3 linked regions of the Caenorhabditis elegans genome follow. The protein of the gene in region 1 interacts with the protein of each later gene in a pairwise test. Each region holds a gene or a part of one and is shown on either strand. Other genes may lie near its edges.

Region 1 (3,756 bases):
CACTTTTGACGGTAACTAAAAAATTTAAAAAATTTTTTGAAACGTTAAACTGTTATACTTAGGAATTTTATTACCATAGGAGAGGGTTTAAAAAATTTCCCAGTCGAGGGCTTCAAAAATATTTTCGAAATAAATTAGAAACTAACCTTGAACATTTGTATATGTATTTACATACTCATCATACGAAGATTCAACATCGTCATCTTCCTTTTTCGATACAACCAATCCCTTGGAACGTCGTTTTGCAACTCTCGTCTCTTCTTTTCTCGCTTGCACCACTGCAAAACAACAAATTACTGTTTTTTGTACCTCGGACTTTTTGGCCAATTGAACATGTGACAAATGACCTTGTCAATGATCACTCACGTTCTCTGCGCATTCCGGCATCTAAACATTTGATGAACCGACAGTGACGGCATATCATTCTGAGCTCGTAATGGGTTCTACACGGATTTGTGTCATCTCCAGTGCCAATGCATTCGTAAGTCATTGACATTGAAACACTTCTTCGGAAAAATGCTGCACATGCCTGAAAATATGCTCATTTATTAAATTTATTCCAATTAAATTGTGAGAAACATGTTTCCGGAGGTATTAGTGATGCAAATTGTACTTTTCATTTTCTCTTTATTTAAACATAAAGCATGCAAAGTGTGATGTACGTTATCAACAACTTTTTCTATTTGTTCGTGGTTTTCAGTAAGATTATCATACAAAACTTGGTCAAAAGGAGCTAGTTTCTAAACAGGAACTGTACTGTGGTGTGTTCAAACATCCGATCAGATGAAGATCTTCTATTGTCATTCTAGCTACACTTAAGACTACAAAAACAAATAGTGTGAGACACATACCACAAATGGCCACAAAAATAAGTGATGTTTCGTCGAAATACGCAGACGGAAAAAGAAAATACCTGACTACAATACACTTCTAGATAACACAGGATAACAATAAAAACACGTGGCGAGCATGTTACAAATTTTGGCACATTTTCAAAGCATAGTTATATTATTACGCCTTAAAATACTTTAGGACCTTTTTTCACAATTATCACTAATGAAACCAACGGTTTATCGGTGTTTTTAGAACAAAAATTCAAGTCTAGAAATGTTGATTTTACGAGTTTGAATGATAAAAAATATGATAAAAGTTTGAAATTACAGTACTCTTCAAAGACGCACAACGTTTCGAATTTAACAAAAATATGTTGCGCTGAGGCAGGATACCGTGGGCCTGGGTAATAATGTCCGATGCAAATTCAATTGTTATCCAGAAAACAAAAAATGTATATTGTACAACAACAACGAAAGTACAACACTTGTAAAAACAAAAAATGTTCATTTTTTCGGAGTAGTGCTAATTAATAATTGATACGAGAAATATTTTTTTCTTGATCATATTGCTTACCTTACAAGAACGACCTCCAAAATGTAGAGTATTGGCAGTGGGAGATGAACAGACATGACAACTTCGACTGTCAGTTAATGGAGATGGCATTCCACGTGGAGATGTTGAAGCTTTATTTACAATCTCTGGGAGATGATTCGATTCCGGTGGAGGTGATGAAGATCCCTCTTTCCAAATGCAGAAGTCAATATCGAATGATGGTTGGAATCCAAGATCGTAAGATGGAGATGATCCTAACGAATCACCAACGTCCAGAGACTCAGGAGATGGTGGTACGTCTTCAAAAGTATTTTTGAATAAATCGGTAGGTGGATAGAAATATTCATAGAGAAGGTCCGTAGACATATTTGATTAAAGTGAAAATGAATGGAGGTGTGCGGCAATGGTAGAGAGTAAGAAAAAGAGAAGAGAGAGGTTAGAGAGAGAAAGGACCGAACAAGGTTAGTACTGATAAGAACAGAATTGGGGGAAAATGAAGAAGAGAGAAAGGTGGGAAGAGGCTAATTGGAGGAGATGAGAAATTGGCTGGACAAAGGGGAGAAGATATTAATATATGGATTTATTTATTTGTTACGGCAAGAGATAGAAAATTGATTCATTAATTTTAAAGAAATGTGAGTTTTAAATTTGCAATTCACTGAATTAATATTTTCAAATATATGTATGAATAAAAAGTCTGTGGTTTGAAAATAATGCAAAACTATTTTCAATTAAATTTCGCCTATTTATAGTCACTGGAACGGAAACTTCATTCTGTCTAATCGAAAACGTGATGGGAAAATTTCAAATTATCACATTGAACTTATGGTTTTTCAAAAAATTTAAATACTCAAGTTTTGAATATTTCACACAAATATATATAAAAATAATAGAGAGAATAAAGATTTACGTTCGTTATAGAATTAGAGAGAAACGTGCGAGAACAAGAGATCGCCGACAGTGGCAGAGATTGCGGAAAAGGTGGATGTAAGAGAATTAGAGATAAAAGAAAATGTAAGTATATTAATACGAAAGAAAAAACAACTAAGCTGTCTGCGACTCATTGAGAGTACTAATCTTTTGAACCCTGGAAGATATGTAAAATACTGCTTCAGAAAACTGGCCGAATTGTTTTCAGAAATTGACATCTTTTCACAAGTTTATATGAAAATATTTTCCTGGCAATGCAGAATAATCAGAAATCATTAATATTTGAAATATACTTTTTTTAATAAACTTTTTTCAAATTCAGATCGAAAGGAGCAAATTTTTTTCAATGACGAAGAATTAGGACTATTCATCGGCAAAAAATATCATCATGCTGCGGGAACAGAAATTATTAATTTCCTGTATTCTTGTCATCATTTTGAACTGATTTTCATAGGTTAGCATCAGAAACTATAGAAAATTTAAGAAAACTCGAATGTTTCCAAACGACTGTCAGTCAGCCAACCAGGTGAAATGATAAGAAAATGTGCATTTTATGTTCATAGAATACAAGGGATAGGTGGTGATAACACAGAATTTGTAATATTCAGGCATTTTTTGAGGATTACCGGTTTAAATTAAAATGTATAAATATCATACAATTTTTTTCTATTTCAAACGAATGTTCATAATGAAAAATCTGAAAGAAAACATGAAAAACGCGGGTAAAACTATTTTTTTAAAAATGGATATGCACATTTATAACACAGATGATGATTCTGTACAATTATATTCAATTTCATACATTGAAGATCATCTCCAGAGTGTACAAGTCTTCTGACGATCACAAGCTAGAAGACCTCGGCCTGACGGATTCCATGCCAGAGACATTATTTGAGCCGAACTGAAAAAAAAACATTTTTGAGAGCAGAATTGGGGCATTGTACTCTGGAAGCGGATTTAATTTCCCAAGTTTTCGATTTTCATTCAAAATTACGGTATCTCGAAACGATAATTTTTTATTAAATACATATTCATCTTTTAAGAGTACTGTAACTTTAAACGCTTGTTGCTGCCATATTTTTTTACATTTTTTCAAAGTTTTTATTTAAGTGTAGTTTTATCGAAAGATTTAGAAATTAAAATTCCGCAGTACTCTTTAAAGGCGCACGCCTTTTCGCAATTAACTGAAATATATCGTGTCGAGGGCAGGTGCTGTACCTTTGGAACTAAAATCGCTAACTTTTGCGTCTGGCTAATGATGGTAACAAAAATTCTATATTCTATAATATCACATTTTTGATTAATTCTAACAAAAAATTTTGAAACATTTTTGAAACACTTTTTTGTAATATCGTTTCTTAATTTCACTCACTCTGATCTCGCAGTTTTCACAACTTTTTCCAACTTTGTGGTTTTTGTATTCCAAATGAAAACAGACGA
Region 2 (3,756 bases), on another chromosome or scaffold:
TTATCGTCATTTATTCAGAAACCACAAAAAAACGAGTTTGCAAAGAATATTCACAATATTTATATCATTTTGTGTCGGACTATTTTCTTTAAAAAAAAAGTGAAGTTTCATTCGATTTCCCATATCTTGCATGAACATTTTTGATATTGTTTCTAGAACTTCAAAATTAATCTTCAAATTACCAAAAAAAAATGTCAATAATAGACCCCTATCTTTGGAATTATCGAGTTTTCTGGGTTTTCCCCAACAATTCTTTAATAATGTCCTTTTCTTTTTTTTAAGATTGAGTGAAAAAGATTATTTCAATAATCCAGCATGTGATGATGATTCATCTCATTCCAACAAATACCAAAACACAAAAAAAATTCTTAAACATTTCTTCCAGGATTCCCATGTTTCTCTCCATGTCCATGTATCATTTTACAACTTTCTCTTTTTTTTTTCCTTCACTTCTACACATACTAATTGGATGGGTCGTTGCTGGTGCAGAGTCAATAAAAATTTGCTCCGTGACGTCAAAAAGCGAAATAATTGGGTCAGGAGGACACTTTTTGTTTTTTTTAGCTCAGTGGTCACATCGAATTGGAAAGTTTTAAAGTAAAAGTATTAATAATATATTTTATAGAGAATGTAGAAAACTGGGGAAATTTCAGGAAACTACCCCAGAAAATTATACTGAGAAAATACTAAATATATATATTTTTTTAGTTTTAAATTAAATATGCGTCCTTGTCTTTCTCAAAAGAAAAATCTGAAATTCGATCAGAAGCCAAAAAAAAAGAAAACTTCAGAGAGAACACATTGTTTCGATCAATTTATAAATGAGGTTTGGCGTTATCATAATGTGTTTTGGGACCTACTGTAGATAAATTATTTGTTTGGAATTCCTTGAAACTTTATTCGCTTGATTTTGCACTGTCTACAAAGTCTCATTATTTTTCAAATTCAATCTTAACAACTTGGAATCGGAGCAAAGTTCTTGTCCATTTTCTATGCTTCAGACATACTTTATTACTTGCAATACGTAATTTTGATGTCAGAACAGACATGAGGAAGAAAATCTTTGCAAAAAATTTTAGTTGACATGAAACTAGAAAAAAGTGATCTGCTTGCTCTGGGGTTTTATCAAGGTAGTGAAGTTTTTACAAGACTTGCCATTTCACTTCAGAAAAATTTCAAATCAAATGTATACATTATGATGTTTGAAGTTTGAGTTCGTGAATTATTTCACATTTAAATATTGCAAGAATAAATATCAAATAGAATGTCCTTCAATGGAAAGGATTACTCTTCGGGGGAATGAATGAATTATGTGATGCGAAAATATTCTATTTTAGTAAAAGATCATAGAACAACAGAATTAGCTCTCAACTAGACTATTTTATGGGAAACTTAATTATCTTCTAAATTTAAAACCAGAAACGCAGACTTTCTATAAATAAATATATTTCACCTGACCCCTTCGGTGTGCTCCAACTGGACACCGTGTGGATCGTGTTTTCTCTTTTTTCCCATAGCATTTCGAATGAAACGAGCTCAAATTTCTTCAGGGAAAAAAACCGAAAGATGTACGTACCTAATAGTAATAACTTGATGATCCGAAGACTCATCGATTGATCCTTCTTGATTTGCTCATCGATCCGACGATTCAGACGTTTGCCTTCTTTCTGATCTTTACTCGTGCAGTGACCCATTTGTGCTGAAATTTTAAAAATAGAATTTAAGAAGATTAGAATAAGCAAGGAAAATGGAAAGGGTCAAAGTCAATTTTATCAAATTAAATTAAAGAATACTGAAGAATTTGAAGATTATCAAACAGTTTTGTTTCCACCGACACAAAGTCCAAAGTAAAAGAGTATCCATGTCAAGAGACAGACTGTCATAAGTGGTGTGAGTACAGGACACATAAAAATACAAATATTAGGTGCGTAGAAGTACAAAGAAAACCTTTCAAAAAGTCGCTACAAGTTTGCCAAGCATGATCAGAAATCAGCTTTTGGTTTCTTTTCGTTTTCTCTTCTTTTTTTCAGATCAGCCAACAAAGTGAGCAAAGACGCGCAAGTGACCACACGCAGAAATTGTAGAGCCCCGGAGACGCTCCTTGATGCTGCTGCTCTGCTGAAAATGCGCGAAAAGGCGAGGAAGAGACAAACATGACAAGAGAATGGAGACAGAGACAAACATGACAAGAGAATGGAGACAGAGACGCATGTGTACCGAGATCCACGGGAAGCCACGGAGCCAGAAGGGAGAGCATAGACGAGAGGATGGACGATATAGTGTGAGAGTAATGTCGCGGATATCTCACTTTCTGTGTCCATGCCTTCTTCTTCTTCTCTCCGCGGCGTTTCTCTTATTGGTCTCCTTTTCCTTTCCACCCTTTCTATCTCTCATTCCGCCCCCTCACCTTTTGGCGAGAGCCCATCGGATTAGGACTCGCCCCGATGCTGTCGCGGCTCTCCATTTTCCCTTCCTTGTCTGCGTGTCTCTTCATCTTCTGGCTCTTCTGAATGTGCAACATGCTCATCGTCGTCGTCGTTTTCGATTCAGAGATGAGATGAAAAGGGAATACAAGGAGCGAGAGGTAAAAAGGAAGAAACAGATGCAAAATTAAATGGAAAACAGTGAAACTAGACTATCTCGTTTCTCTACATTCTAGAAGGACACACTACCAAGAAACAGCGAAAAAAGTTGGTTCAGTTCTAGAAAATTTGTTGCAAAAAGTTCGAGAAGGGCGACAATTGGGCGGGGCTTAATTTGGGATATTTGGTTTCGGAGACAACAAATTCCAGATTTTCAGCTAAAGCTTCATTATATTTGAAGTCTCATAGAAAACTCAATTAATTATAATTTTTAATAGCAATTGTCAAATAAATGATCCAGCTAAAAAATAGAATATTCTAAAATTCGATCAACTGCTTCGTTTTTCTCCTTTATAAATATACAGATAATATATATCTGGAACGATTTAAAGTTATAAGTTTCTATTTAAAAGGAATATGCGATGGGAATTTTTTTAATCAAAAATTTTACTAGTGTTCACTCTAAATTGACAAGCTTTTAAAAATTCCAGAAACAGAAGTTGAATATGTTTTGCAGATTCGTCAGAAGTCATTCAATTGGTATCAAACAGAAAAGAGCAAAAAAAAACAACAAAAAAGTGAGGGTGGAGGCAACACGCCCCTCGGGATTAATCAGATCCTCCCTCACATTCTTTTCAAGCACACAAACATTGATTGAGGGCATTCTGAGATTGAGTTGGTTGGCCCCAAACATGACTAGAATTTGAATTAAAGTGAAAAAATAAAAGAAAACTCTGGGGAGCACATAGATTATTGTGTTTTGGCGGAAGAGAAAATTTTGGGGATTTCCCTTTTTGTTTTTGAGCTGGGAATGTGTGAAAAGCTTGAAAGGATGGAAAGTGAAAAAGGAAACAAAAAAGAAGAAAAAGAAGGAAAAAAGAAAAGTTAAAACAACATGAAGGAGTATGTCTGAAGCTGCAGCGTAAGTGTGATTCCTGATTGTTGTTTCTGATTGAAATAAATGAATACCGGATTTTCCGAAATCCGTAAAATCTGGAACGCAGAATGAAAACAGGAAAAATGACAAAAATTGAGCGTCTGGTTGTTCCTAAGTTAACTTCCTTCGCATCTTCGACACTTTTCTCTCAAATTACAACCTAGAAATGCGCATGAGTTAGAAAGTCATCGATATCTCAAATTAAAGAGAAAATGAGCAAAGAGCAAGCGAAAGGAG
Region 3 (3,756 bases), on another chromosome or scaffold:
ATATTACACACGAGAAGCCTCTTGGAGCACCCCTATGCATCGATCCTTCGAGAAGTTTGTTGAAGCATGTTCAATCTATTCGCGCATGATATTATGTTTCCAGTGATCGATGAATAATGTGTGGAAAATTCCGAAAATCTTCAACTGTGTGCCTCATCCCAATTTGAGATTTAATTTCTGAAATTCCTGCCAATAAATGAATAAGAATAGCGAAAAGTAAATATTTGACATCTTTATTTTATCGGGCAAGATCCCACCAGAGACAAAAGAGCACATGGATATACAGCGAAAGATTGGATGGGATTTGAAATTCACATAATTCGCACAGTTGATTATGTTTTATTAAAAAAGGGAAGGGGATCAAAAAACAGGGATGGTGGTAATATGTAAGTTAAACATAAAATGGTGTGTGTGGCAGGAGCTAATAAGGATCAGAAAGAATTAATATAAAAAAGAAAAACGCTCACACGGAATGCCCGTATTCGTCAACAAAAGAATCAAGAAGAGAACCGCATTTTTTTGGATGATAGTGTAAAACAAGAAGAACATTTGAAGGGGGTGGTAAAATATAAATTAATTGATATTTAAACCAATTTTATTGCTTAGACTGGAACATTTCGAGCGTGTCCCATTTGTTCGACCATTTCTGAACCGGCACGATCGAGTTGAGCAAACCACAGTCGGGGACATCTGAAATAATAATAATTTGAGAAGATTTTTTTAAAAAAATTATTAGATTTTCGAAGTTTAGATATTTAAAAATCGAAAAAATTACGAATTCCAACACAATTTTTTAAAAGAAAATTTTAGGTCGTGTTTCGATAAAAATATCAATTTTTAGATTTCAAAGAATAAATAAAAACATACGTGACTCGTCCTTGCATATCATAAAGTGTATGCCAATTCCATGGGCCATCACATGAGATGAGTGGTTCGAGATTTGCAACTCGTTGGCACAGTTTCACATACGACTCCCAGCAATAGTGACACCGAACCCATGTGCCCGGAGACATTGGAACCGATGCTGCAGACGAATTGGACGTCACGTTGGAATTGTAAGTTGTTGGCATATAATCCACATATCCACTTGAACGCTTCACGTTGGCATATGATAACTCCGACTGAAAAAAGTAAATTTTTATTGAATTTTGAAAATTATAATTTGATTTCTTTAAAATCACTTAAAATTTATTTTAAACTCACCGGCATTGCAACTTTTGGAACAATTGGTGCGACATGTCTCGTGGATCCATTTAGACGACTCGACCCGCTGATCTGGCTCACATTGTTACGGGATGTGCTGGTTGATGGTTGCACTGGTTGCTTGTATCGACAATCAGGCAAAAGAAACATGTCAAGATCCACGTCAACTGATGGATCCATGATTTCGTGGATTTTGTTCTCATTGTCTGACAATGTCAATCCAGAAAACATGTTCTCCGACGAAGAAGCCGACGAAAATCCGGAAGATGGTGTTCTCATCAGTGGTGGTGGGCCAGACGTTTTTCGAGAATTGTAGTGTGTCGGGCGATCAAATGCATGATAATGCTGTTGTTGTGGAATCATTGCACGAACTCTCTTGTTCTTCTCTATATACGTCAAATGCAATTTTTGACTTCTCAGGCCCGAACGTTGTTGGGGAGAAGATGACAAGCTGGAGAGAACTCCGCTATCTTGACTGGATTCCCAAAAATTGGAAGGTTGATTGAGCGGAATCAGCGGCTTGATTTCAGATCGGAGTTGAAGCAGCTGAAATTAATTTTTATTAATTACGTCTATTTAATGAAAAATTATTTATTTTAATTAAAAAAGAGCAAAATTCTGTTTTTGGAGCGCAAAATTCTATTTAGTGACGAAAGCCACGTGAACGGCGTGACAAAAAATAGGTCAGTTTCGACACGTTTATATAAACGAAAAATAAAACTTCCAACTCACTTGCTTCGGCGCCTCGTGTTGCGACTTCGAGTAGGCGATGGTACTACTGCTTTTGTTGCAGTTGTTTCTCTGAAAAATGATAATATTATTATAAAACTGAAGGTAATAAAAGAAATGGAGAAAGTTGGAGAATCGGGATCATCGTTGAAACAATTCAATCGGAAAGAGAAAATACATATTTAATTTCAAAAAAAAAGTGAACTCACTCTTGGAGGAAGAATAAAAGTCGAACACATTGTCTCGCGCGAAGATTGAATAGTCAAATAATTCTTTTGAAATGAGAAAGAACATGGCACCGACGAATAATTGGACAATTCATCGAAAATAACAAGCGTGGGAAAGTTGTCATTTTCCCACGTATTTTCCCACGCCTGGGGGAGGCGTGGGAAAATGCAATGGAGCAAGAATGCAAGAGCTTTTTTGAATTTCGCGGGCTTTAAAAACATTTAAAAACATGTTTTTAATCGACAAAAAGTTTATTTTTAAAGAAAAAACATTGGATTAGTCTGAAAATTGAAAAAAAACCTCAAAATCGCTTGGGCAAGCAATTAAATTTGAGAAAAACGTTCCCAGATGGGAAAGAAAATAGTTTCCCATTAATCGAAGCCGCTCAAAAAGGTGTGCGCCTTTAAGATGTACAGTAACCCACTCCCCTTTCGCAATTTTCTTAAGCTTTTTCTAGTTTTTCTATTTCAAAAATAAGCAGAATTACATGAAAACCTGAAAAATAAGGCAAAAAAAAAATCTTAGCGAGAAAAAAATAACGTGTAAAATTCCTTGCAAGCGGGTTACTGTATTTCTTAAAGGCGCATACCTCTCAACGCGTCCCGGAATTGGAAATATTTCGTTCGTAAAATATAGAAGTTTTAAAATTGGAATGTAAAATTGTCATCGAAGCCTCATCAACCTAAAATCCGAACACTTTCAATCGGAACTAATCTAATTTCAATCGAAATGGGGGAAAAATGAAAAGAGATGAGAGTAATTAGAGTGACTAAATGAAACGATAAAAACTACGACAGTAGGTGGTCAATAACGGCAGGTAGAAGATGAATGGAGACCTCTTCTTTAGGAGAAAAGAATGACAAGATGAATCATTGAACAATACAGCCATTTGTCAATTTGAAAACATTTTGGGAAGATATCTAAGCATTCTCAGATGTTTGGGAAATTGGAACTTATCAAGGAAACATTAAATTTAAACGGAAAAAAGGTTTAAGATAACAAAAAAGCGACATTTCAGACACTTCGAAGATTTTATTATCGTTTTGAAAACGGAACTGCATGAAAATTTTGTTTTAAAAAAATAAAAAATAAAAATATTACCTAGGTACGAAATTTTGCAATTTTTACGACGAAAATAAAGTACCAGGTCTTGAATTTATGTTAAATACAAGCAGGTTTGCGCCTTAAATCTACAGTACTCCTTGAGACTACTGTAGATTCAAAATGTTCGTTTCCGTCGAATTTTCATCGATTTTTCAAAATAGTTTTTCTTACATTTGGCACAATTTATGTGTTTTTTCTAATTTTTATAAATATTTAAGTTTTATAAAAAATTTTACCGAAAACCTACGAAAAAATCTTTGAAAATTCTGCAGCGATCACCACAAAAATGGGCTATCAAAACATTTTTTCGTGGCGAGACCCATCCGAATGGACCTGTGTGCCTTTAGCTTACTTTGGTGCCATACAATAAAATTTCGATTGTAAAGAAAAAACTACAAAACAACGAAAACTATAAAGTTTCCAAAAACTTTATCACTAGGAACGCGATTCAATTCTCACTAACTTTCTTTTTATCAAATCACACTCAAAATT

What was found.
Region 2: the proteins of nhr-22 (region 1) and gpa-7 interact in binary tests that used the Caenorhabditis elegans proteins (3 or more experiments, as listed by UniProt).
Region 3: the proteins of nhr-22 (region 1) and lst-1 interact in a two-hybrid assay, tested with the Caenorhabditis elegans proteins (one study listed by BioGRID).

Annotation. Positions count from the first base shown.
Region 1 is NC_003280.10:6,448,037-6,451,792, forward strand, and holds the start of nhr-22 (Nuclear hormone receptor family member nhr-22), read right to left. Parts: upstream 1,757-3,756; 5' UTR 1,753-1,756; coding exon 1,408-1,752; intron 530-1,407; coding exon 367-529; intron 279-366; coding exon 147-278; intron 1-146. Other genes in the region: atg-16.2 (Autophagic-related protein 16.2), read right to left, coding at 3,127-3,217, 3,689-3,756. UniProt on the Caenorhabditis elegans protein: Orphan nuclear receptor.
Region 2 is NC_003282.8:10,401,957-10,405,712, reverse strand, and holds the start of gpa-7 (Guanine nucleotide-binding protein alpha-7 subunit), read right to left. Parts: upstream 1,706-3,756; 5' UTR 1,695-1,705; coding exon 1,577-1,694; intron 1-1,576. UniProt on the Caenorhabditis elegans protein: Guanine nucleotide-binding proteins (G proteins) are involved as modulators or transducers in various transmembrane signaling systems.
Region 3 is NC_003279.8:10,586,927-10,590,682, reverse strand, and holds lst-1 (Lateral signaling target 1 protein), read right to left. Parts: upstream 2,183-3,756; 5' UTR 2,172-2,182; coding exon 2,142-2,171; intron 2,011-2,141; exon of another isoform or gene 2,005-2,010; coding exon 1,936-2,004; intron 1,750-1,935; coding exon 1,204-1,749; intron 1,122-1,203; coding exon 868-1,121; intron 691-867; coding exon 603-690; 3' UTR 219-602; downstream 1-218. UniProt on the Caenorhabditis elegans protein: Plays a role in germline stem cell maintenance, perhaps acting in concert with mRNA-binding factor fbf-2.